Oryzias latipes: one gene and its partners. The protein of the gene in region 7 purifies or fractionates together with the protein of the main gene of each other region. This does not show direct contact. Links are inferred from orthologs where the notes say so. Each region holds a gene or a part of one and is shown on either strand. Other genes may lie near its edges.

What was found.
Region 1: the proteins of vapa (region 7) and zfyve27 purify together in Homo sapiens (co-immunoprecipitation; 3 studies listed by BioGRID and IntAct, counting the BioPlex papers as one, with this or other methods). This does not show direct contact. The link is inferred for Oryzias latipes from reciprocal best matches to the Homo sapiens genes VAPA and ZFYVE27.
Region 2: the proteins of vapa (region 7) and rab3gap2 purify together in Homo sapiens (affinity purification with mass spectrometry; 3 studies listed by BioGRID and IntAct, with this or other methods). This does not show direct contact. The link is inferred for Oryzias latipes from reciprocal best matches to the Homo sapiens genes VAPA and RAB3GAP2.
Region 3: the proteins of vapa (region 7) and vdac1 fractionate together in Homo sapiens (co-fractionation; 3 studies listed by BioGRID and IntAct, with this or other methods). This does not show direct contact. The link is inferred for Oryzias latipes from reciprocal best matches to the Homo sapiens genes VAPA and VDAC1.
Region 4: the proteins of vapa (region 7) and miga2 purify together in Homo sapiens (co-immunoprecipitation; 3 studies listed by BioGRID and IntAct, counting the BioPlex papers as one, with this or other methods). This does not show direct contact. The link is inferred for Oryzias latipes from reciprocal best matches to the Homo sapiens genes VAPA and MIGA2.
Region 5: the proteins of vapa (region 7) and tyrosine-protein phosphatase non-receptor type 12 purify together in Homo sapiens (affinity purification with mass spectrometry; 3 studies listed by BioGRID and IntAct, counting the BioPlex papers as one, with this or other methods). This does not show direct contact. The link is inferred for Oryzias latipes from reciprocal best matches to the Homo sapiens genes VAPA and PTPN12.
Region 6: the proteins of vapa (region 7) and vps13a purify together in Homo sapiens (co-immunoprecipitation; 3 studies listed by BioGRID and IntAct, counting the BioPlex papers as one, with this or other methods). This does not show direct contact. The link is inferred for Oryzias latipes from reciprocal best matches to the Homo sapiens genes VAPA and VPS13A.

Annotation. Positions count from the first base shown.
Region 1 is NC_019859.2:28,350,273-28,353,600, reverse strand, and holds part of zfyve27 (protrudin), read left to right. Parts: coding exon 1-64; intron 65-147; coding exon 148-334; intron 335-524; coding exon 525-620; intron 621-782; coding exon 783-895; intron 896-979; coding exon 980-1,098; intron 1,099-2,871; coding exon 2,872-2,943; intron 2,944-3,190; coding exon 3,191-3,211; intron 3,212-3,328. UniProt on the Homo sapiens protein: Key regulator of RAB11-dependent vesicular trafficking during neurite extension through polarized membrane transport. Promotes axonal elongation and contributes to the establishment of neuronal cell polarity.
Region 2 is NC_019880.2:20,252,583-20,256,628, reverse strand, and holds the start of rab3gap2 (rab3 GTPase-activating protein non-catalytic subunit), read right to left. Parts: upstream 2,801-4,046; 5' UTR 2,544-2,800; coding exon 2,435-2,543; intron 1,275-2,434; coding exon 1,186-1,274; intron 1,100-1,185; coding exon 991-1,099; intron 913-990; coding exon 831-912; intron 237-830; coding exon 189-236; intron 113-188; coding exon 37-112; intron 1-36. UniProt on the Homo sapiens protein: Regulatory subunit of the Rab3 GTPase-activating (Rab3GAP) complex composed of RAB3GAP1 and RAB3GAP2, which has GTPase-activating protein (GAP) activity towards various Rab3 subfamily members (RAB3A, RAB3B, RAB3C and RAB3D), RAB5A and RAB43, and guanine nucleotide exchange factor (GEF) activity towards RAB18.
Region 3 is NC_019872.2:4,165,968-4,169,467, reverse strand, and holds part of vdac1 (voltage-dependent anion-selective channel protein 1), read right to left. Parts: intron 3,420-3,500; coding exon 3,269-3,419; intron 1,229-3,268; coding exon 1,171-1,228; intron 1-1,170. UniProt on the Homo sapiens protein: Non-selective voltage-gated ion channel that mediates the transport of anions and cations through the mitochondrion outer membrane and plasma membrane.
Region 4 is NC_019870.2:7,796,342-7,799,841, reverse strand, and holds part of miga2 (mitoguardin 2), read right to left. Parts: intron 3,355-3,500; coding exon 3,237-3,354; intron 2,652-3,236; coding exon 2,545-2,651; intron 2,417-2,544; coding exon 2,304-2,416; intron 2,114-2,303; coding exon 2,041-2,113; intron 1,516-2,040; coding exon 1,429-1,515; intron 1,331-1,428; coding exon 1,232-1,330; intron 373-1,231; coding exon 238-372; intron 1-237. UniProt on the Homo sapiens protein: Regulator of mitochondrial fusion: acts by forming homo- and heterodimers at the mitochondrial outer membrane and facilitating the formation of PLD6/MitoPLD dimers. May act by regulating phospholipid metabolism via PLD6/MitoPLD.
Region 5 is NC_019881.2:13,867,876-13,871,375, reverse strand, and holds part of tyrosine-protein phosphatase non-receptor type 12, read right to left. Parts: intron 3,117-3,500; coding exon 2,936-3,116; intron 1,190-2,935; coding exon 244-1,189; intron 1-243. UniProt on the Homo sapiens protein: Dephosphorylates a range of proteins, and thereby regulates cellular signaling cascades. Dephosphorylates cellular tyrosine kinases, such as ERBB2 and PTK2B/PYK2, and thereby regulates signaling via ERBB2 and PTK2B/PYK2.
Region 6 is NC_019867.2:11,849,652-11,853,151, forward strand, and holds part of vps13a (vacuolar protein sorting-associated protein 13A), read right to left. Parts: intron 3,403-3,500; coding exon 3,308-3,402; intron 3,194-3,307; coding exon 3,051-3,193; intron 2,885-3,050; coding exon 2,683-2,884; intron 2,601-2,682; coding exon 2,486-2,600; intron 2,115-2,485; coding exon 1,978-2,114; intron 1,872-1,977; coding exon 1,739-1,871; intron 792-1,738; coding exon 674-791; intron 250-673; coding exon 105-249; intron 1-104. UniProt on the Homo sapiens protein: Mediates the transfer of lipids between membranes at organelle contact sites. Binds phospholipids. Required for the formation or stabilization of ER-mitochondria contact sites which enable transfer of lipids between the ER and mitochondria.
Region 7 is NC_019875.2:4,839,524-4,843,023, reverse strand, and holds part of vapa (vesicle-associated membrane protein-associated protein A), read right to left. Parts: intron 2,754-3,500; coding exon 2,670-2,753; intron 614-2,669; coding exon 482-613; intron 397-481; coding exon 262-396; 3' UTR 1-261. UniProt on the Homo sapiens protein: Endoplasmic reticulum (ER)-anchored protein that mediates the formation of contact sites between the ER and endosomes via interaction with FFAT motif-containing proteins such as STARD3 or WDR44.

The DNA of each region.
Region 1 (3,328 bases), on a different chromosome or scaffold from region 7:
ATGCCGCTTTGCTCTCTGTCCGTTTGGATTTTTCTTAATGTTTTCTTTTGCACTGTGTCTGAAGGTAAGAGGAGACTTACCACTTTGTAGCTGTTCTGTAAAGAAGCAGTGTAACCTCGCCACCTTTGTCTGTGTTTCTGCCCTCAGCGGGTTGGTTCACCTTGAGTATGATGGGGGTATTGCTTCCGGCTGCTCTGGGTTACCTGCAGGACAGGTGTGGCAACAAACGGCCAGAGGATGAGCTCCAAAGGAGGCGCATTTATGCTGTGCAGAGCAGAGACTTGCAGACGGTGCAGATGACCAAGCAGGAGGCCATGATGGAGGTCAAAGAGCTGTAAGAGGAGAGCTGGTTCCTGAACGCGTACACCTGGATTCTGGTTTTATTCTGACCAGATCAATCTGTGACATGGTTATACCAGCATGAAAAACCACTGCAGCCAGCTGTGCATATTAACATCTGGGCACATACTGCTAGTTTCTGCCAGTCTTTCAGTCCCTAACTGTACATGTGATCTCTGGTTTAGGTTGAAGCACCTGGACGACTCGTTGTCATCAGCATGTCAGTCTGCAGAATCGGTTTACAAGCTTCTGTACTGGGACGATTACTCCACCTCATCAAGGTACACACACATACACACACTCTGCTATGAGACTAGAGGGAAGAGAAAACGTTGAAAGTACTGGAACATCTGTTATAATACTACCAAAACATGTTTGTATCTGCAACATAAGGAGCTCCAGTAAGAGTTGGAAGCGTTTTGACTTTTGCTGGAACTCTTTAGGTTCTACGGTGCATTGTTGATGCTGGTATGTCTGCTGTACGTGGCCCCCGTGGGCTGGGTGTTGGCTGCGCTCACCAGTGCCTCCTTCCTGTGGAACAGAGACTTTTGCAGAGGTCAGTCGTCTCAGCCTTAAGAATGCTGAAGAGCAGCTCTCAGTAGCACCAGCGCTCATTTTGTCCCGTGCTTTCTTCTTCCAGTTTTATTGGACCTCCGTAGGCTTTTCCTGCGGGGTCAGAACTCATCCTCAGAAGGTGTGTGCGAAGATCGGGAGTTGGGTAGTCTGATGGAAAGAACCCCCACACCAACCAGTCTGGAGGTAGGCTGTACTTGTGATATCTGTTTGATTCTGGAATTGTTTTCTTTGAGGCTGGACGTTGGCATAGTGGTTAGCGCTCTTGCCTCACAGCAAAAACGCCCCAGAAACACAGAAACAGAACATCAATGGGGAACCTTTCTGTGTGGAGTTTGCATGTTCCCCTCATGCATGCGTGGGTTTTTTCCACAGACTCCGGCTTCCTCCCACTGTCCAAAAACATGCTTCATAGGTTACTCTAGTTACTCTAAATTGTCCATAGGTGTGAGTGTGAGAGTAAATGGGTGTGTGATTGTGGCCCAGCGACCGACTGGCGACCTGTCCAGGGTGTCCCCTGCCTTCGCCCATGGGTGGCTGGGAAGTTCTCTGGCAGCCCAGTGACCCTGAAAGGGCCAAAACAGGTTTAGAAGATGAATGAATGAATGAATAGTTGAGTTTGTTGTGTTTTTGTCTGCTGCAGTCAGACAGAAATCTGTAGCATTAAAAATTGACTGAGCTTTTATTGCTAAACCTGCGTTTTAACTAGGGGTGTGACCATAACCACATCACTGCACTTTTTTTTTTAAGTTTTTTTTTTTTAAGTTCTGCATATGGTGCGTGATTGGAACAATGATAAACACATAAAACACATTCATTTTTGCTGATAATTTACTTTTTCTGCTAGGCCTGTGTTCAGACTTGTTCTCTCTGCACCGCGTCTCTCACCTCTTGGGCTGCGCGCAGCTGTCACTGCCTCTGCGCTGCACGCTCCCTCTACTCACACACACACACACGCAGTTTCAGCAGCACACACACATCCTCATTCTACAACAAGAGTTTCTGTCTCGCGAGGAAATACGACAAATTTGCTGCGTTCTAATTATTCATTTCCATTGTATTCATTTCCATTACAAGCTGCGTGCGTTCTTGAGTGCCGCCCGCCAGAGGATTTGGTGTTGGGGGGGGTTATTACTTTTCTCCTTCACTCTGTAACACCAAACATGAACTTGCACTGTTAGAGTGCATGAATATCACTACATGTTTTGTTTGGGAACTATTTTGTGCAGCGCAACGTTACGTGTCTGTATAACAAAGTCGAAGCCTCCTGCCCCGCGTTCTTCATGGGTGTAAGGCTTCATGTCTACCGGAAAGGTGACAAAGTGTCTGCAGTCTCGTTTATTACTGAGCAATATATAAGATTGTGAGAAGAATACTGCGTTGTAATTGTATTCATTTGCGACATGGCCGTTGGGGGATTTTGTGTGTGTGTGTGGGGGGGGGGGGGGTGATCTGGATGATGCTGCTTTCAGCGAACCTCTGTCTCTCTGTAGCCCATGGGATGACAAAAAAAAGAAAATGAGGGGACCATTTGTTCTGGTTTTAATACAAACTTTAAAAAAAAAAAGCATTGTGAAGTTCAGGAGGAGCACAAACGGCAACTTTGAGCTTCTCCTCCATGAAAACAAGTTTTTTTTTTCAACACAGCACCACCAAAACGGAGTTCCTGATTGGTTAGCAAAAATTATCGCTGAAGATCAGATTTTTTCAACTTTTTGCTGGCTGTTTAAATTGCTCCACAGAATCATTTGCTGTGTCTTTACAGTAACCTAAGATTAAAAACTGTCCTGCTCCCCACTGTGAAAACAGCATGCTCTGTGTTAGTGAGACCCACATGTCACTGACAAATCACCTTTTTTATTTCTTTAAGTGGAGAAGGTTTTCCTCCTGAAGACACATTTTTGCGCCTTTGTGTGACCCTATAATCTTTAAAGGTTGTCTTTCTTCATGTGTTAACAGGACCTAACTCCAGGCAGTGTGGAGGAAGCAGAGGAGGCAGAGCCAGATGAGGAATTTAAGGACCCTATTGAGGTAATCTTTAATCTGCCTGCAAGCTGAAAGCAAATGTTTGAAGTTTCTGTGACTCCTGTAGGTTCCACACCTGAGCACAGGTTACTGTTAGGAGCCGAGCTCCCTGCTGCACCGCTGTTCTTCTTTTCTTTAACTGCAGCTCTTATTTAAATTAGCGTGACTGTGCAGATTGGTGATAAATCTCCCATGACCTTCTGTTGGAGTCAGGTTGTCTTCATGCTTTCTTTTCTATTTTCTGCTGCAACAGGAAAACTCAGTTTTGCTTCAGGTGAGTGACACCCCCCTGTGTAATTAGGAAGCAGGTGCATGTCATCAGTTGTGTAAAAATATGTACATTTCTGTGGATTATAAAAATTTCTGTCAGAAGATTCTCTTCTTCCCATAA
Region 2 (4,046 bases), on a different chromosome or scaffold from region 7:
ATGCAGCCAGAAAACCAGCCTAAGTCCAACAGGTACCTCTGTGTAAAAGCGAACATAACCAGAAGTGAAGCCGACTACAACACAGGTCCAGTCCGGCCGCCCAGTGGAGCTTCTACACACAACAACAACAAGGTAAGTACACACAAATACACACTTTTTATGTCAACAGTCGACATATTTGCTCTGACCTCTTCTGGCTTGCCAGCGGAATTGCTATTGCACTGCTCACACACTCTCTGGAGAGAAAAACCCGTTTTAACTTCATCAGCATCTTTATTTATAAAGCACTTTAACACAAATGCCACTGTACAATAAAAGATAAACACGATAAAATTGTTAAAAACTAGTTTAATAAACTAATGAATACAAACATAAAGATAAAAGAAAACTTGAGATGTAAAATAACTGGGACTGCATCATTTTGCACGCCCAATATTTCTGTTTTTCATTTCATATCCAATAAATTTCTGCTGCAGGTAGGAACACAAAGTGAATAATAATTAGAGAATGTGGTTAAGGAGGGAGATTAAGTAATGACAAATAATAATTTAGAAAACCCTTAATGCCTTTTAAAGATATCAACTCTGTAGAACAAGAGGACAACAGGCATAAGTTTAATCTCTTTTTAAGTTAAAATAATGTAAAAATCTCTTTACCTCCTTAATCGTAGCTTTGCTTATTTTGTAAATACAGTGAGATTAGAACAGGACTACAGTACATAACAGAGTCCATCAGTCAAAGAGCCGCTTCAACTGAGAGCCAAACTAAAGCTTGGGTTGGTCTTTGACATGATGGAGAAGCTAAACTACTAAGAACATAAACAATCGGACCCCTCCTCAGTGCTGAGCGTTCCACTCCAAGAAAGCCCCAGGGTCATCTCCTCTCTGCCACTCTCATCTGTACGCCACTTGGCTGCAAAGACAAACACAGAGACACCTTTCAAATAAAAACTACTGCTAAGAGTCAGGCAGACTGTGTGTAAGGTCTGACCCGAGAGGAAAACCGCCTTCTGTTCCCGGGCCACCACCAGCAGGTCAGAGCAGGGAGAGAGGGAAACGATGCAGTCATGGAGCCAGGGTCCACTTGGTGCTGCACAGTCCTGCAGAGCAGAGACAAGCTTCACCTCTGTGCGTCACCATAGCAAATCCTAAAACATTAATAATAGAATAAAGCAAAAGGCCAGACCTGTGTGGAAGAAGCACCTTCCTGCACTTTATTATTCTCAGTGTCCCATGCTGATTCCCAATCTGAGGTGTCCCAGGAAAGTTCATTATCTGGAGAAGATTCCAACAAACGTCAGGAAGAGGATGTCTACATAGAGCTTAGAGGTTTTGTCTGTTTATTTCTCTGTCATAAACAGAAGGGAAAGATACTACTGACATAAACAGAAAGGAAGTGACTTAAGCTGTGTCCGAATTCCCATCCTAACCCCTAACTACTAAAAACTATTTAGTGTGGGACTATCTAATGCTCTGAATTTTAGTGAAGTGAAAGTCTAATTTATTTGAACGTTTTGTGACGATTATTTATGAATCCACTGAGTTCTGGAGATAAAAACGTTGATGGTTTATTTGAAAAATACAATTTTTGAAAGCAAAAATAGTTCAGACACAACGCATTGTGGTCTATATTCGCCAATCTAGTGAGCATCAATGCACACTGGTTTTCCGCAGAGACTTCTGGGAAATTTCTAGGGCACTGAATTTTGGAATTGTAGATTCGGACAGCACTACAAAACAGCGAACGCACTATATAGTGAAGGCATTCAGACACAACCTTAGTGTTGAGTGTTCTGGGGCGGCAGTGGCTTAGGTGGTTGAGGAGGTCAGACGGAGATGGAAGGGTCAGTGGTTTAAACCCCGTCCCCCTCAGTTAACTGCCACTGTGTCCTTGGGCAAGACCCTTCACCCTCCCTGGTGTGTGAATGTGCATGCATGAATGTCCAGGTGATGGTCAGAGGGGCCGTAAGCGCAAACTGGCAGCCACACCCCCGTCAGTCTGCCCCAGGGCAGCTGTGGCTACATCAGTAGTTACCATCACACAGTATGAATGAATGTCCGAGAGGAAAACCAGTCCAGTGGTACAGTTCCCAAATGCCACGCGATGCTGCAGAGAGACGTGTCAGCCAAGACACTCCCAGCATCCAGACACTTGAGGTACTCAGGGAGGACTTCGTCCACTCTCAGAGCCTTGCCACTGAGTCAGTGACTTCAGCTAACTAAATACATAAACACAATGTAATGAAAAACTACTAGTTATGATCGTTCATGGTCCAGATATGACATCCAAGCTGCATCTCTCACAATAACTTTACTGGGAAACCGGAAACATGAATGTGAGGAGTCTGTTTCACAAAAAAATGCCCGTCATCATCATGGCCACATTATATGTAACCTGCCGGCTAGAAATGTGCGGCGGGAGGCAAACACTTCACCTGCTTGGTTCCGCTCCTCCGCCGCATCGGGTTTCTGACCCTGGAACAAAAAGTCCCGAACGGTTCTGAGCTCTTGGAGCCGACCAAACTCCAGCAAGCTGCAAGACATCCCTGCCGCCCGGCCGATCCCGTCGGGAATCCAGCAGACGAGGGGTCGGACAGTTAGCCTTAGTTCCTGCTAAAGGCGCGGCAGAAGACTTCCGGTCACGTCCGGCGGCGCGTGAACTTTGTGATTCCCGACGACAAACGTCCAAGTCCCGTCGAGCAGCTCCTTCAGCGACCAGGACAGGGGTTTACTCTCGCCTGTTGTGTTGATGACACATCGTTAGCATCGGAACACTGCTGCTGTTGTGTTTCCGGGTCAGGGATCCATTTGGAATTTCAAAATAAAAGCATCGCAGGAGCCTCTTGTTTTTATCAGCAAAAAAAGCTGAGTTAAACTTTTTTCATTTGAAATCAGATGTGATCGTAATTCTTCTACACTTAATATGTTCCAGTGGTGTTTTTCTCTCAGCTGAGGTCGCTCCATCAACACTTTGGAGTTTGCTGCATGCAAAGCTTTTTGACATTAAAATGCGTTCAAATGTTTTATTTCCCTTCAATTCTTCACAGAAGGATCCAGATCCATGATAAATAATTAATGCAGAGCCTTCAGCTCTGATCTGCTTGCTCAGCTGTCGGACAGGACAAGTTTAAATGAAGGACGCAAATACATTACTATGCAATAAAATCAAAAAAGAAAAAAATCATCAGAGATTGTAAAATGTTTGCAGATATACACTTTACCAAAAGTCGTACACCTGAAGTTTATTTGACTAAGTACACAGTGATTGAATATAGTAAGTAGACTACAGTACTTGCATCTGGTATGTAGGAAGTATACTAACGAAATATTTCTAAATTGGAACATTTTTATTTTCCATAATTTAAAAAGTAAACTTCAAGAATACTGCCTAACTTTAAGTACAGACTAAGTTTACTCTGTAGTACACTTACATAGACAATCTCCTCCTGATCATTTAATGGCTTTGAGCCTTTTTTTTTTCCTCTTCTGGGTCTCGATTGTTCAAGCAGAAGTCCTTCCACTACCCTACATAGAAACATTATTCACAGAAGTCCTCGCGTTTTTAGCAACATTTCTGCATATATTTAAAAACTAGATGTAGTTTGTACTACTGGAACCCATCATAGTATAAAAAAACACATTTACAAAGGTGCAAACGTGAGCTGACACCTGTGCTCAGGTGAGTGTTTTTGTTCTACGGTGGTGGATGATGGAATGCTAAAAGAGTGGAGCACCCGGCTACCCCCACACCAAGACCCCTACTGCAGAAACAGTGGCAGCCAGGGCTCACCAGACACATAGCAGATCCAGATCCAGTAAACCACCCTCGACCAGGGGGGTCCCCACAGGGGCCACAGGACCGCCACAGGGGTCCCCAACGCCAAAGAGCAGGGGGGCACGGAGAATGCAAGCTCCAGCCCAGCCAGAAGAATAGCCCTCTCTGCACATCAGTGGACCCAGCATTGGACTCCACACACTGGAGAGCCCCCTCCCCCCAGCCCCAGACAAGCACCCCACCACCACCTGGAAGTTCTGAGCATCCCCCCA
Region 3 (3,500 bases), on a different chromosome or scaffold from region 7:
ACCATATAATCAACATTACATCCCTCAGTTATGATGAGGAAATTTACATCCGCGATTCCACATTTCCCATGAGTCTTAGGGGCTAAAGGCGGGGCCAATGCCCGGCTCGCCATACTGTTGTACGTGTTTAAGAATGAGTATCAGCAGTGCATGGAGGGGTGAACGGGTACAGCTCTCCTTCCGCTTGTGTCGCGCAGCGTTATGGGAGTAACAGGACTGGTTAAAAAACACACTAGTAAAATAAAGCAGCGACGACTGAAAAGCGCGCGCCTCAGCGCGATACGCGCGCCTCAGTGCGGCGCGTGCGTCAGAATTCAGAAGCCTCTGCGCTCCGCTCCCGCCCCGCGCGCTCCTTGTCTCCCCTTCCTATCTACTCCGACACCTCTGGCCAGGGCGGCTTCAAGGAGGAGCACTTCGTCCCCGTTGCGCCGGTGTAAGGAGCAAATAGTTTCTGTGCAAAGCAATCGGACTTAATACTGTACGTTTTGTGTATGAGGGGCGGATGCGTTGTTACGTGTGGGAGCCATCAGACTGCCATCGGCCCCGCAGCTCAATCAGCAGGAGAGTTTTTCAAAGCAAAATTCCGCTTTTACGGTTTCCTTAGAAACCGTAAATGGAGTGTAAATTCACTCCATGCGCTGTTCTCTCCGTCATGCAGCAAACCGGCTTTTCCAAACCCGTTGGTGACGGTGGACTTTTTTACGCTGCTTTTAACGATTGCTTTTAACTTGAAAGCTTCATCATAATGTAGCGGCGATCACGTGCACGTTGGGTCTAATGGCCCCAAAGGATTCTGGGATGCGGCCGGGCATGCGTGTTTCGTTTTGTTGAACCATGACTGAAGTGTCTAAGACCTGAAGTCAAGTCCATGCTGTTTGGCTGCTAAGAGGTGTGTTGAATATAAATGCCTTGTGCTAGAATTCAAACTATTCACTGAGTTCGAAAGTACGTACATGGCGGCCGCCAATTAAATCCATAAATTAGCCGCGTCACTGAATAAGCCGCAAGGCTGTAAGCGCAGGAAAAAAGTAGCGGCTTATAGTCCGGAAATTACGGTATATCGTCATCGCAATATTAATCACCAATATCGCGAGTTTTCCTCATATGGTGCAGCCCTAATTTTTCCTATTCAGGTAGAAAATTCCCAAACTAGAAAGTAGCTTCACTCACCTGGCTTCAGAGTCTGAGTGTAGCCCAGACCCACGAGGCTGGAATTGTTCACCTTGGCCTGAGAAAGAACAGAGTTTAGCAACGTTAGAGCGGCTGAACGGGCTTTTATAGACACTTCAGTCTCACAGCCAGAGAGTCCTGGTTTGAATCCCAACTGGGTCCTTTCTATGTGAAGTTAGCATGTTCTCCTCGTGGGGGGGGAGTGTTTCTGGCTTAATGGCTTCCTCCCACAGTTCAAAAGCATTCTTTGTATGTTAATTGGTGCTTAGCTGTGAATGCGAGTGTGTAGTTGTTTGACTCTTTGTGGACTATGGACTGGCAAACTGTCCAGGGTGCAACACAACTGTAAATAAAGTAATAGGGATAGGCTCCAGCATCCCCATGACCCAAAACAGGAGGTAGGAGGTGTAGAAGATGGATGACTGCATTCATGAACAATTGAATACATTTTACTTACAAGTCAAGTAGGTTTAAAGTTAAGTGGGTCAAACAGAGATAAAAAAACTAAACATTTTTCCCTCTTCCTCTACTGACTTTCTGCTCAAACTTTTCAGAATAAAAAAAAAACAAAAAAAACAAAAATCCATCCATCCATCTTCTTCTGCTCATCCAGGACCGGGTCACGGGGGCAGCTGTCTAAGCCAGGGGTGTCAAACTCATTTTGGTTCGGGGGCCACATTCAACCTCTCTGATCTCAAGTGGGCCAGACCAGCAACATAAAAGCAAAATAACAGTTTTGTTTTTTTTTGTCATTTGGAAAAAATGCCTCAACCAACATGGTAGTCTATTATTTATTAATACACATTCATTCACAGAGGCCAAAAGGTCAATAGCTTTTAGGGAACAAGACTTCTGCAGCCTCCAGCATTTTTCTATAAGTTCACTATCTGAAAATGGTTTGGATGTTTGCTCCAACTTGTCTGCAATCAGGTGTCTGTCACTGCTCCATCACTGACGTCACGCTGCAGTAAATGCAGACGGTTGGTCTTCAGTCCAGCTAATAGTTGGTAAATCTTCTCTTTTCTTAACTGCAAATGGTGAAAATTTTCTTTATGGTGAGTCTCATATGTGCTGAATGTTGTATTCTTTGAGCCCTGTGACCTGTTGATGACGTAACAAGCAGGCAGGTTTTGCATTCGGCTCCATGAACAAATAATTCCTGGAAAGCTCAGCACTCCACTTCAACCTTTCTTTCTTTTTGACAACATTTTGGTCATTATTGTGTCACTACTGATCATTCTCATAGCAATGTAACAGCGGTGAGAATCTAAGAGAACCAAAATACATCTTACCCACACCCAAAGTTGTTAGGATTCACTTTTGAGAAATGCTGTTTCACCTGCTTTGCTTTTGCTTTTCTCCCCCTAGTGGCGGAATTGCGCACTTCGGTTATTTCTTTAAAAAATCATAAATGGGCAAAGGAATGGACTAGAATTTTAAGAATTTTTTTGTTTTTGTTTTTAAAACATCCTAAATTCTTTTACTTTTCATGACTGGGCCAGATTGAACCATCTAGTATATGTTTGACACCCCTGGTCTAAGCAAAGATGCCCAGACTTTACATTTGTCCGTGGAGAGGGAAGATGAAAACGTTATTAAAAAATACATTTAAATACAATTTTTTTTGTGCAACAATTGTTTATATGCAATGCATTGTGGTCTGTATATTTGCAAATCTAGTTAGCATCGATTCACACTGGTTTTCCGCAGAGACTTTCTAGGGCACTCGATTTTGGAACTGTAGATTCGTAAAAGCACCACAAAATGGTGAACAACCAAATAGAGCACTATGTAGTGAGTAGTGAAGGAATTCAGACATACTCAGTTACAAGACTTTTGGGTAAACAGGTTCAGATTATAAACAACCAATCAGAGTAATTAGCTCTGAGGGGGATTTAACCGAGGCTCAAGTTGGAGATAATTCAGTTGAAGCCCGTCTGTTCCAGACAGACTCTTCCTTTTGAACCTTTTGGCAGAAGTTCCCCTGCATTCCTATCTTGAAGACCTAACATACCATGCCAAGTTGGTCAGCAGAGGCAGTAGAGTGTGTAACTAAGACAACAACATTGTGAAGACCCCCATAGAAAAGGCTACTCACAGAAAAAGATGCGTCTGGATCAATCTGATACTTGGCAGCAATGCCAAAGCGAGTGTTGCTGTTTCCAGCTGTCCAGGACAGGTTGACGGCTGTCTCCAGCTGCTCGTTCACCTTCTGGTAGATGGATCCACCAAACTCTGTGCCATCATTTCTGAGGAGACATAGAAATATGTTGAACAGTGAGAAGGAAAAGGCATTTTTCCCTGTGGGGAACACTAGATGCTATAAACGA
Region 4 (3,500 bases), on a different chromosome or scaffold from region 7:
ATTCTCACAAAAATGCATGTGAGATTGTGGAGGGACTGTACATCAATACAGACTAAATTTCTCCTTTCTTTAATTTTTGGATGCTGGTGTGTCGTGGGATTTTTGTCAAGGACAAAGTGTGCCTTGGCTCAAAAAAGGTTGAAAAACACTGACCTAGGACATCCCTGTTAATAAGTACTAATAATAAAAAAAGAAAGAAAAAGATTTCTGACTTGTGTTGATGTTTCATCAACTTACCGTCTCTTTGAAGCTGTCGGAGAGCCAGCGGTTCCTCAGTACAGCCACGACAGAGGAGGGAGGGCTCTCGAGGTCTTCGAATGCATCCATTAAGATGAAATCTAACACTATGTCGAAAAAGTTCATGCACACCACCTGCAGAGAACACAGGAGCATCTCAGTTTTATCAGACTTAAAGATCCACTCTGATCATCTTTTCATCTATTTTAAAAGCGTGTTCTTTTAATTAAGATTTTGCCGATTTTAGAATTATTATTTTTTTAAACTGTTATTTTCTAGGACCTAAAATGACACATGGATCCATGTGTCTGCAAATGGATGCATCAAAATGGAGTGGAGCTGGAAGCCTGTCTCCGTCACAAATACTTTCTTTTTTTCCCCCCTGATTCACAACAATTTGAATTTAGAAATACTCAGAAATGCAATTTTGAGCTTAATTTCCTTAATATATGTCCTCCAACATCTGGAAAATGCCACAAAAACATGCTTAAAAGACAAAAACACAATTTTTAATCAGAGTGGGTCTTTAAAATATCAAAAATTTCTGACATTTGCTGCCTTTCAAGCAGGTTTTTATCATTAAACACAACACTGGTTTGATAATCGGCCTCTCAATGTGTTGCAGACAGTTGGTTAAACTCGTTATCTTTCAAACTAAACTAAATACAGTCGGTTTCAGTCACTCCCACACTAACATTTTCACCCGATTCTACTGTAAACAAGTGAAGTAACTGAGGCTCCAGCAAAGTAAAGGATCTTATTAAAGATTATTCAACAATGAAGAGCATCGTTTCTGCACGACAGCATACATTTGAGTGTGTGAGAGTGGAACTCCAAAAGCCAGACCTTTGCCCATCATTTGTATAAATGTCACCGTTTGAGCAGCACGTCTTTTCAGGTCAGAGAAGATGAAACCGAATTTCCCAACGATTCCAGATGTTACTTCCTTTGTTAAAGGTCAGTAAAGAAAGCATCGGACTTGAACAGAACTCACCCCTCGACCGTCCAGTTCCATCTTTGTAACGGGCCACGTTTCCTCCCTCTGAGTGTAAAGCAGCATGTCTTCATAGCTTTCCAGAAAAGCTTTGGGGCTCTGATTAAGAATAAACATATAAATTAGTTCATGCTTAAAGAGCATGCCCCTCTATCTAAATAAAGTAAAAACTGCACATCCCCATTCCCTCGACTTACCTTGTTTGCCTTTACCATTAACCCGACAATCATCTGTTTCCCCAACTCCATGAAAAATGTGCGGTGACTTTCGTCTAACAATAGAACCTAAAAAGAAAGAAAAAGCAATTTGTTTTATTTATTCTGTTTTAAAAATAGTTGAATGTTTGGAGATGAACCAGACTGAGGCGGTTTGGACATGTCTACAGGTTAGAGCCGGCCCAAAGAGCAGATGCATGGATGTAATGAGGGAGGACATAAATATAGATTACCTCAGAGAAAAGGATGCAAAAGACAGGATTAAATGTAGCTAAGAAACAATAACTTTCATTATACTGAATGACAGCATGTTAAAAGGTCGCCTTTCTTGGAGCTTTTTTGCCTGAGCACAAAGCTGCAAACTGAGATTTGAATCAGCAAACTCTTAAGTTCTGCCAAACAACCATCTGTTTTTGGCCTTAAGAGAAAAGCTGTTAACATTTACGTTACTGTGAAGGAGAAAAAAGAAAGCATCACGATAAAGATTAGTAAAAATAAAAAAATTCCTTGTACGGTAATTTGGGTTTCAAACCTTCTGCAAATCACTCACACACATTTAAAGAGATGTTTTTTCTTTTTACACAAAGAACAGACCTGGAATGCTTGTCTCACACAGTGGAGCTTGGCGAGGAAGTCTTGGTCACCGTAACATTCAAGCAATTCAGTTCTGTAAAAGAGAAAAAGAGTTTGAGAGACTAAACCTAATCAAGAAAAAAATATAAGAACATATTTGACCCCTTAGAGGCAGTGGCCTCAAATTTGAAAAAAAAAATACATTATTAAAATCAAACACACTATATAAGCACATGAAATTCAGCTACTTTAAGCACCAAAACTGCAATCAGTATCATAATCACCTCATGGATCTAAAGGGGACTTTGCCTTCGCGGACCAGAGTTAAGGCTTCTTCATAAAGAGCTGCCGGCCTTATTGGCTGGTAGAGCTCCTCTAGAGTCATTTTATCAAAGATCTGCATAGAAAAACATTGATTTTAGAGGAGTGCAGCAGACTTCAATATCCAGCAGTGCAAATATACAGAATGGCAAGTCTTGGTGTACCATTACTATTTTCTGACCATCTTAAGAGCAAATAAATCACCTCTGCCGCTGAGAAAAAGGAGTCATCAGAGCTAATGGTGGTGGCGTCGTCATCTTGCAGTCTGTACAAACTCTCCACTTGAGGCAGGATAAGAGTTCCTTCACTCGCTAAGAAAAAACACAGCTGTGTCTGAATTCCTTCCCTACTCACTAAATGCTGCATTATAGTGCGTTCGCCATTTAGTAGTGATGATCTACAATTCCCTAATCGAGTAGCCTAGAAATTTCCCAGAGGTCTGTGCATTGATCCTCACTAGATCCGCAAATATAGACCACAATGCATTGCGTTTGAACAATTTCTGCCAAAAAATAAATAATTTAAATGTATTTTTTTTAATAAAATATAAACGTTATCATCTTTAGAACCCAGTGGATTCATAAATGACCGTCGCAAAACGCTCACACCAATCAGAGTTTAACTTCATAAAATCAATCACGTCATATTCGCCGTTTAAAGAAAAAAAAAAAAAAGTAGTGAGCATGGTATCCAAATTGCTTTCAAAATCCAGGGCACTACATAGTTTTTTAGTAGTTAGGAGTTAGGGTGGGAATTTGGACACAGCTTTTGTGATCCTCGAATGAGACAACAGTCGTTGACTTTATCAATAATATTAACTTTTTTGTTTGAGTTATTTTTAATAAGGTAAAAAAAAAGACAATCTTCTACAATCGCATTTTCAAATTGAGTCTCACCGAAGTCTGCCAGCACACTGTCTGCAGGGAGGCCGCTGCCGAAATCCTCCTGTAGGTGGTACGCCCTATGCAGCAGCGACTCCAGCTTCTCAGCTAACACTTTATCATGCGTTTCCCCCTAAAACCAGAAAAAAAAAAAAACCTGTTCTGTAGAAATTTTAGGCAAAACAACAATCTTTAAGGTACACAATTCAGCGTTGGGCAACTAAAATTCAAATAGAATTGAATATTCACAAGAAAATGAAGGACTTATGTTCATTCTAC
Region 5 (3,500 bases), on a different chromosome or scaffold from region 7:
TTTCTGACAGAAAATGTTAAAATGCCTTTTTTTTCCCTTTTCCTTAAGTGCTCTGACATGAGGGTGCTGATAGCTTAAGATTTAAGGAAATAGCCCTACCATGTGCTTCTATAGCAATGATAAAACAAAGTCATCTCCGTGCCTTAACTAAAACTAAAACTTAATTGAAATAAAAAACATTTGCCCTAAAAATGACCGGCAGTAAACGTTTTAGCTTTCCCTGAAAGTGACATTTTGACATACTTGCAGTGGCTGCAGTGGGCGATGAAATGCTGTGGCCCACGATAGAGACAGGCAACGCCTTTCTGACTGGTTGAAGAAGCGACGAGGACACCACGGTGGTCACCATGGATACGCTTGTATGAAGAGCCTCCTTTTCACAGGACATCACTTCGTTCCCATCCTCCTCCGAGTTATCCGAATGTAAGGGGTTGGTGAAACTTATGGCAGTCCTAACAGGGGTGGACGAAGAAGAGGAGGAAGAGGAAGAGGAGAGGTGGGAGGAGGAGGACGAAGAGGGAGCAACTCGGTCTGAAGAGGAAGAGGAAGAAGAGGTTTTAGGGAATAGTTTCTCGGGGCTGTTGCAGGGCTCCGTCCACGACGCGTGTCCGGTTTTCACGTCCGCTCTGCTGCATTCGCGCGGCTCCACCTTATCTCCGCTCTTCACAGGGAGGTGGTTTGGCCTGGGTAAAGCGCTTCCCTCGGTGTGACTCTCCAAACATCCAAGCGCTCCTCCTTCTGTGCCCGAATCCTCCGACAGGGAGGAGCTCGACGTCAGTAGGGACTGAGTGGAGCGAGACTTGAAGGCCTGGCCTCTTTGCAGCATGCAGCCGCTGCTGCAGGAGCTGGCTCCCTGTCCGCCTGCTCCTCCGACAGAAGAAGACGTGTCAAAGCTCCGAGGTCCTTCCTGCAGCGGCACCTTTTTAATCTCAATGCTGAGCTTCCTCTCGATCCGAGGAATGCCGGGACATTCAATGACCGGGGAGAGGGGTGAGGACGGCGCCTGAGTCTGGCTTTGACCAAATTCTGGCTTTGTAGACGTGGAGGAGAACTTGTTGTTGTAGTTGTCATTGAGGTCTACATTTGAGACCTGAGTTTGTTGGTTTCGGCTTAATACATCTTTCTGCTCTGAGGGACTGGTCTGTTTGACTGGGTCAGATTTGTTCTGAAGCCCATCTTTGTCTTTATTCTGCAAAAAAAAACATTAAAAAATAATAAAAAAAACAGTTTTTGCAACCATAAAAGAACACTTGTGCTAGAGCCATGGATTGTTACTTTATGGCGATCTGATTTGATTCAAGGATCTATAATTCACAAATCCAACCATGGTTCTTACTTTTTAATCTTTCTGTCTGAATAGTTGCTATATGTACAGTAGAAACCAGAAGTTTACATACACCACATATAAACACACATATCCTTTTTTTTTCTCACCATCAGACATGAAATCAAAGTAAACATTTCCTGTTTTGGGTCAGTTACAATTAACAAAATTATTTCCATTTGCTGAATTTCAGAATTATGGCACTAGGGTTTTTTTTCAGACAAGTTTTAATTACTTTTATCAAAGTTTACATTCATTTATTAAGTATTTGGTAATATTGCCTTTAAACTGCAGTGTTTGGGTCAAATGTCTTGGATTTCTTTCCACAAGATTCGGTAGAAATTTTTGGCCCTTTCCTCCTGACAGAACTGGTGTGACTGTAGGTCGCCTTGGATGTACACGCCTTTTCAGCTCTGATCATAAATGTTTAATAGGAATAAGATCCGGGCTCTGTGATGGCCAGGCCAAAACATTGACTTTGTTATCCTTCAGCCACTTTGTAACCATTTTGGCGGTATGTTTCGGGTCGTTGTCCATAGGGAAGATCCGTTTGCGGCCCAGCTTCAACTTTCCGGCTCATGTCTTCAGATGCTGCTTCAATATTTCCACATCTATTTTGGGAAGTGCACCAGTCTATCCAGCAGCAACACAAACCCACAACATGATGCTACCACCCCCATGTTTCACACTTGGGATGGTGTTCTGAGGCCTGCAAGCTTCTCTCTTTTTCCTCCAAACATAGCGATGGTCATTGTGGCCAAACAGTCCAATTTTAGTTTCGTCAGACCACAGGACGTGTCTCCAAAAATGAAAGTCTTTATTTGCTTTTCTGTGTTTTTTTTGAGTAATGGCTTCTTCCCGGCAGAGTAGCCTGTCACCCCGTGTCTGTACAGTACTCATTTCACTGTTTATAATGAAACATTCATACCATCTTCAGCCAGAATCTTCACAACATCATTTGCCTTCGTCCTTGTGTTGTTTGGATAGTTCAACAATCTCTGACATCGCAAATAATCCTACTTGTACTTTCCGGAACAGATCATGAATATCTGAGTATTCAGATATTTGTTATAACCCCAAATTGAGCTAATCTTTGACATTTTTGACTGCTATTTTGCAAATGATCCCATAAACAGGCACAATTTGTGACGTAAAATGTAGATTATATGGTAACAAAGATTTCCAAAAATATACATCTTATTAACATAACTTTTATGTATCATTTATAACCAGGTAATTATTATTTTCTAAATTCTAACGCAAAAAGCATCTAAAGTCGTTGCTTAAACTTGAGTAAAACATTAAAACTTACTTGAAATCCCCCAGAAACCCCCAATTCTTTAAAAGAAGTGCTTGGTTTTGTGCGAGGATAATAATTAATATTAGCCTAATGCTAATTTATGATTCCATGAAGATATTTTCAGCAAAGTTTCTCTTATACCTGTTGGAGATTTGCAGCATTTGCAACCTTCATATTATTTGCACTTTATGATGCAAGAGCAGCAAAGTCTCTGCAGACCATTGAAATAAATCCTCAGATTCTGGTTTTAGTTCAACCAAAGTGTTAACATATTAAATGATAAAAGGTCGAACTTCAAAAATCCACCTCACCTGTGTGACGTTGGACTGTAGGACATGCATGACCGGTTTAGGGTGGTAGCGATCATTGTCCTGACGTACGTTGGTGACCGTGGGGAAAGCTGACGGAGGAGACGGGGTGAGGATCGGGGGGACTGGGTGAGGCTCAGGAGGCTGGAGGATCTCTTCTTTTACATCGCCCTCAACCTGGAAACTAAACAAAAAGATTGAAAAATTTGATCAGGAAACAGGAGAATTAAGCTGAAATGAGGATTTTTTTTATGAGAAAAGTTCACGCTCACGTTGAAACAGAGAGACGTTACACAACAAGACAATAGTTTCTAGTAAAGTAAATATCTCAAGTTTGCAACCAATAATCTGAGAAAGGTTGGTCCAAGTAAATAAACGAAATGGAGCTTTATCATAGAAATATGATGTATGTCTATATTTCACATTAAAACATTATATATAAAATATGATTTAAACAAACAATTGTTCCAATATTTTTAGGTTTTCCTTCACACAGACTGATGCAAAAATTGTGTTTCAATTTTACACGTTTGTTGTCACTGTAACAAAAACGCAAAAACATATTTAC
Region 6 (3,500 bases), on a different chromosome or scaffold from region 7:
AACAAATGACAAAGTTGGATTTAACACAATTTAAATTTAGCAACTGTGAGGTCAAATTCAGAGAACTTTAGTGATTTTCTGTTTTGAGACAAAGCAGGTCTTACCTTTTGAGTGGAAGATGGAGCAGTGTTGTGAGCAGAGGGTTTGCTCTCAGGCAGTGGGATACTATCAACCAGCTCCAGAACATTTCGAAGTTTAATATCAGAAATTCTGAGGGACAGCAGAGGAAGTTCTCCAAGTACTTTATATCTACAAAAAAAAAAAAAGTGGCAAAAGATGATTCATCATGGCATGAGAAGACTAATATATGATAAAAGTTTCTCTCTGCAAAATAATAGTAGTGACTTACATTTTTAATGACTAAAAATAACTTTAATAACAAAATATCTGCTTAGCCTATTTAGAAACATCCGATTACAAAGCTTGTTCTACAGGGAGTGTTAAAAATATTAAACATTGTGGAAAAGTGATCTGAGATTAGGTTATGGCTTTGGGTCAAATTGCTCCCAATTAGGTACAAAGAAACAACAGGTAACATGCTCTGTGTCTTACATACTTAACAGTGTTGTGCTCTAAAAAGCTATATATAGCGTGATTTTTAATAGTACTTGCATGAGTTCTTTAATGCTAAATTAAATACCTATTTTTTTAACCAGTATAAATGAAAACTGACTTTGGCATGCGGGAATCTTTGACAACCATCGCTCTGCTGAAATCCACATTCACGTCGACGGGCTCCAGGATGTGGAGCGGTGATTGCTTTTGTTTACGAGCCTTTTTCCAGTCCCCACCTATGGATAACAGTTTCATTATCCTAAGGATAAACTTTTCATAAAGACAAATTCAAAATATTTTTGGATTATACATCTGAGATGACATATTAAGATCTCTTTTCAGCAGGCTAAAGAAGTTCCTTGAATGAAAAAAAAAAATTCCCACTCTACGAAAAAAAGTCCAATTCCATCAATAAGGTCTCAGGCGACTCCACCTGGATCACCAAAAACCTTCAAGTTTTCTCCATCAGCCATCTTTGCTGATGGAGAAAATTATTTTGAAAACAAATTTAGAAAAAGAGAATTTATTTTTTTAGCATCTCATTTACATTTGAGCTCCTCTATTTTAGTACTACTAAAGATAAGAACAGCCATGTCTGCTCATGATTTATTTCAGCTCATTTTTTCAAGATGACGACTTATTTCTTGGTAGAAAACTGAAAAAAAGTCATTTTTCATTTGGGATGGCTGCAAGTTGTTAATTTTTCTTTTCAATGACTGGGAAATTGAAAAGTTGTTTGTGAGCAACATTACCACAATTTCTGCCTGAGCTTCACCACAACTTAAGTGATCAATGATGTTAAAGTACAATGCCTGTAACCATAGATGAAAGATCCGTTCACGAATGTATGTCGGTGTTTAGTCTTTAACTTTAAGTTTAGCTCCTTTTTCCCAGTTGTGGAAAGCAAGCGAGCATAAAAGAGCCGAGTTCAGGGCATCAGATCTCATGTGTCCTTTTTATAAAAAGTTTATGTGGGTGGCATGTCTACAGTTGAAGAAGCGGAGATACCTTCTGCGAGAGAATTCACATGTAAATTTGTCAATTTGAGATGTTTGCCATTTGGGTTAGGGAAAAGTGTATTCCATTTTCAGAAGAAAATGCGGTATTAAGTGGTTATATTAAGAAAATGAGCTTATAAAATATATTAACATACATGACTGTTCTCATCTTACGTATTGCTCACCTGGTTTGCTGTACAGGAATTGGAGGGAGCTGAGCTGCACATCAAAGGTGTCGTATGCTCTGGACATGATCGCTTCAATGTTACTGGGACATGGGGTCAGCTGTGGCAAATTCTCTTTGCTCTGACTGGCCATCTGAAGAGGTGGAAACAAATGCAGAAATATTAAAACATCACTCAGTATATAAAAAGTAATTCTTGTTCCAACTGGATGCGATTTATTGAACTTCAAGCTTTCGAACCTTAAAATGACCAAGATCCAACAGCAAAATGTTCTGTGTTCCATCGTAAAAGCCACTCTGTGGAACGATGACGTAGGAGGCCATGAGGTTTACCTTCAGGTCGAGAACTTTCTGTGTTTCAATCACATACAGTAAACCTGCAGAACAAAATAAGAATTAATTGTTTTTACCTGCAGGAGGAAACATATAACATGAACTAAAAAGTAAACCCATATACACCTGCTTTGAATTCTAAAGATGTACATGTTGGGACATAGTTAGCTTTCTTTTAATTTGGTTTGATCAATATTAGGTTTAACAATCTCAGTAAACATAACCAAAAAAGGTAAAAATTTGTTTCTTCCTATTACTCTTTTTTTCTCTTGTAGTTTGCCTCAAATTTAGAAACAGAGTGTTGGCTTTAATCTACCACAGATCCAAAATGGGATAGAAAAGGTGTAGATGGTGGAAGGATTGAAAGCCAATATAATGAACATTAGATCGGATAAAAGTTGTAGATTCCACTCACCTGTGGCTGTGCGATCTTTAAATTGCTCCAGTTTCATTAGTGTTGCCTTGGTAAACTCATTAAGCTGCACGTCATCTGGAAGTCTGAAGAATTCTGACACACTGTTTACAGTTAACTGCACAAACCAACAAAGTTTTCATTTAGATCCCTATGAGGGATTCATTTACACACATTTAGCAATGGAGGATACCACTTACAGCATCATAGATGATTTCCAGTGGCTGAGATGAGACATGAAATCTCTGGTCAGCACTTTCATCCAGTGGATTGGTTTCAAACAGAATGATGAGAAGAGGTGTCCCTGTTTTTGTGGCTGCCCTCCTTGATGAAAGGAGCGTTGGTGCAGGCCTGTTACTGGCCAGACCAGTGACTTCAAACAAACTAAGCTCAGCTGTTATCCTACAAGGACATGAAGGAGAAATCTGTAAGTGTCAATGCCAGATAAGGGCACATAAAGTAGCCATTGGTCATTTCTATACCATGTAAAGTCAACTCAGATACTCTGTGTCTGCAGCAGAATCATCATCATTCCAAAAGAAAACGGTCAAACAGAGATTAAACTAACTTGATGGCTTGTGCTCCAGGTCTTTGAGTGAGTGTAGACTTGAGCTCCCCGACAGTCAGCCTCATGACCTCATTTTTGTCTTTCTCATCTTTAATGGATACACACAGTCTTTCCATGTGGAAATTGACCTTCATGTCCTCAAACTAAAAATCATTTACATTAGAGAATTATCAATGTAAAGTCCATTAACTTCAAGAAGCTTTTATATTTTGTTTAAAAAAATTTCATTTACTGCTAGTTGACCAGAAGACACCTACTTTCTTAGGCAAATTAGGATTAGCAGCAGTTTCACTGTAGCCAATGGCAGTGTAGAGTTTGGCTTTCTCTGCAGGAGTCAAGAGCCCATCAAAACCTGAGAGATAAAAGTGACACAGAAGTAAAACAAAACTGTTAAATGCTGCAATTAAAAACATGGAACTTTTTCTGGAAAAGAACATCGCCGATATTATA
Region 7 (3,500 bases):
ACTGGAGGGGGGGAAAAAAACTGGGGGGGTTGATTTTTGTCACCCGTCTTAACTCTGTGCGCACTAAACTGTGTGATTGTAAAAAGGCCAGGCCTTCAAATGATGCTGTACACACGTGTTCACTGGAGGCCACACTACCGATGATATGGCAAAGTCAACAGAAGGACCTGGTCCAGCTCTTCTTTTTTTGTTGTTGTGTGATCTGGAGCTGCAGAGAGGGCGGGGAGGGGGGAGGGGGACGCCCAACATGCATGTCCCGGTCTACAAGATGAACTTCCCTAAGAAAAAACCGATGAAAATTGCTGCTATGACGACGAGGAGGGAGGGCAGGAAGGCGGTTGAGTTTGACATCATGTGGTCTGGGGGAGGCATTTTTCTCATCCTAACTCCGTCTTCCTGCAAGGAAACGAAAGTCGTTCAGTTTCACACGCATGACGGCACGTTCAATTCCCTCTGCCAACGCGCGGCTCTCAGTTCCAACCTTTATTTGTCGGTTCTCCTCGTTCAGCTTGCTGATCTCTGCTTGAAGCCTCCTGCACTTCTCCTGCATCTTCTTCAGCTCCGAATCCTCCACGGTCGGCTCGGCCTTCACCGGGACCGAATCCACCGCATTCTGCCAGACAAAGTACAGAAAGTTACCTCAGGAGGCTGCCTTGCTCATGGGTTTATCCAGCTGTGGCGTTCTTTGGCCGGACAGGCGGCGTGTGGAAACAAAACGTCTTCTTATGAGAGATCAAACTCGACTGAAGCTGTGATGTCGGCGCCATAACGGAGAGCTGGAGTGATGCTGGGGGGGTGTCCCATCATGGCAGACGGGTTCTGGGTGACGAATCTGACTAGGAGCGGTTCAAACCCCCCTTTTGGCAGTAATGAATGCTGCGTACACAGCGGGCATGTGTAGTAAAAAGGTTTTTTTTAAACTGGACAAAATAAAATGAAAGCTTACAGCTAATTTGTTTTAGATCAGATTTGTTTAATAAAACATACAGACTAACTTCAAAAGAATTACTGATTGAGGACTAAAACGGTAACATGTCTGAACTTAAGATACCCCTATATGGAAAACATAATGCATTATGGTCCATTGTATCTTGGAAGAAAAAAAAACACACAGAAGAAGAAAAAGGCAAAACAAGCAAGTCGTGTCTGACTTTAAAACTTGAAATTCTTTCACCATGACCCCTGCTGCTATAACCCCCCCCCCTCACAGGGGACAGACGCAGCGGCATCTTTGTCCTGCAGCCGTGGCGGGACAACAGGTTACGGAGTCCTGCTGAAAGCAGCCGCCACTCACACCCAATCCCCGCAGACCTGCTCTAAGAAGCCGTTGCAGAGCTCAAAGACACTGCGGTTCAGAAAATGTAGCAACAAAGCGAATGACTGTCTGATGGCGTGGAAACCCACAACACACGGTCGTCTCAGAGTGATCCGACATTCTGAGGTTTGAGCTTTAAAATGATGAAGGTCTGCTCCAACAGTGACCCCCTCCATCCTCAGGACGGGTTTACTTGGCCCCCCGACCTCAACAGCCGCTGTCTATCACTGATAATACCAGGACAAACCTCTTTCTAGAGCAGTGTTTTTCAACCAGTGTGCCGCGGCACACTAGTGTGCCGTGGGAAATTGCCCTCATTAACTGATCTAAAAACATTTTCCATCTCCAGGATTTCAGCTCTGTGTTCATCCAAACAGGCCCTGATAAAACACTGAGGAGTTAGGAATATGAAAGATCGTAAAATACTTTTTCTTTGCGTTTATTTTATTTTATTAAAGACATTTTGATAAGAATGACGATACAGTACCGCGATTCAGCTGCACCTTCGGCTGTATTTTGGAAACGTCCCGTCCCTTTAACTGTCTCCACCAATCATTCTTGAAGGCTTAATCACATGTCATCAGTCTGACCAATCAGAAGTGGTTAAAATCTTCACTTCCTTTCCCGGTTTAGCTCGTAAAGTCGCTCAGTTCTAAAAAAAAAATACCAGCTAAAGCTCGTCTTTAGCGGTGTAGCTTTCCACAGAATCCGGTATCAGACTGGAACAAGTGAACAAAACAATGAAGCTCAGAGACGCGATCTCCGGCCGTTTTATGCACTACATCTCCCATGATGCATTGGGTTGTGAGAGTGACAGCGCATACGGAGATCTGTTGTTAAACGTCTTGAAACTAACGAACACACATCAAACTGTTTTTAAATCTTCTAACTTATCTTTTATTGCATCTTTTAGAAAAAAACAGCTGCAGTTTCCAGCTTTTTCTGCAACAATTATCTCAAAAATGCATGTGAGACTGTGGAGGGGCTGTAGATCAATACAGACTATGAGTTTCTCCTTTTTTTTTAATTTTTTGATGCTGGTGTGCCGCGGGATTTTTTTTAAGGTTAAAGTGTGCCGTGGCTCAGAAAAGGTTGAAAAACACTGTTCTAGAGCAACCCAATACATAATAAGTGTAGTCTTCTTTATAAAATACCCATCATTAGATCTGTTTGTAGTACATTTTCCTCACATTTCTATTACAAACGGAAATGCTTTGGTCAGTTTTTCCCCTTTGTGCTTCACTTTGAGTGAAACGTCCCGTTTCCTCTGCAAACGTTCGATGCCCTAAATGCAAAGACAGAAGCTTCCACTTATAAATAATATGCTAATTTAACGAGCCACAGAGCGTCTTACCACCAGTTTGTCATTTTCAGAAGGCAGCTCAAAGACGCATCTCAGCTTGGAATCCATGAGGTCATCAGGTTTAGATTCTTTCCACTGGTGAAAATGAAAAATGAGAATGTTATTCATCAAATCAAACTGCTAGCAGCTGGATCCCATCTGCACACAGACACACACACACACACACATGCACACTCCCTTACTGATACACACCACATGATGAGTTTGCCACTAAAAAAAAAAGAACCAGTGTACTTTTGTAACAGAATCAAGTTAAGAAATGTGTAATAAACACATTTCATCCTTATATTTGTCTTTTTTTTTCTTTACATTTTTGTTATTTTATCATTCTACACTTATTCAGCCTCGCCTTATGAGAGCATAAGACACCAAATTCCTTGTATATGCGCTGTACTTGGTCAATAAAGCAAATTAACTCAATCTCTTAAAAGTACTTTTCCAAACACAGAACTTTATAATGGTCCATTTGGATGCAGACATTATTCAGAACCAGTCTGACCTTTGTTCTGAACACAGACTTCATGAATTGCTAGCACATGATAACAACTGTGCATCATGGAGAGGTTGGTGCAGCCTTTGCTGCCCTCTGGTGGACAGACTCACACAGTTTGTTGCCACTTTACAGAACAAACCGCCAAATGAGGAAAAACGGCTCGAGTTTAAACAATTTGTCCTGAGTTTAGGCAGAAAAGAAGAAACATGAAATCGTTTAATGCCCAGTTTCTGATCGCCGTGCGGTTCAGGCAGGACTGACCTGCATAACTGAAAGCTGAACGGCCTCTCTGATGTTTAAGAGTGCAGCAAAACATCAATCATGAGACC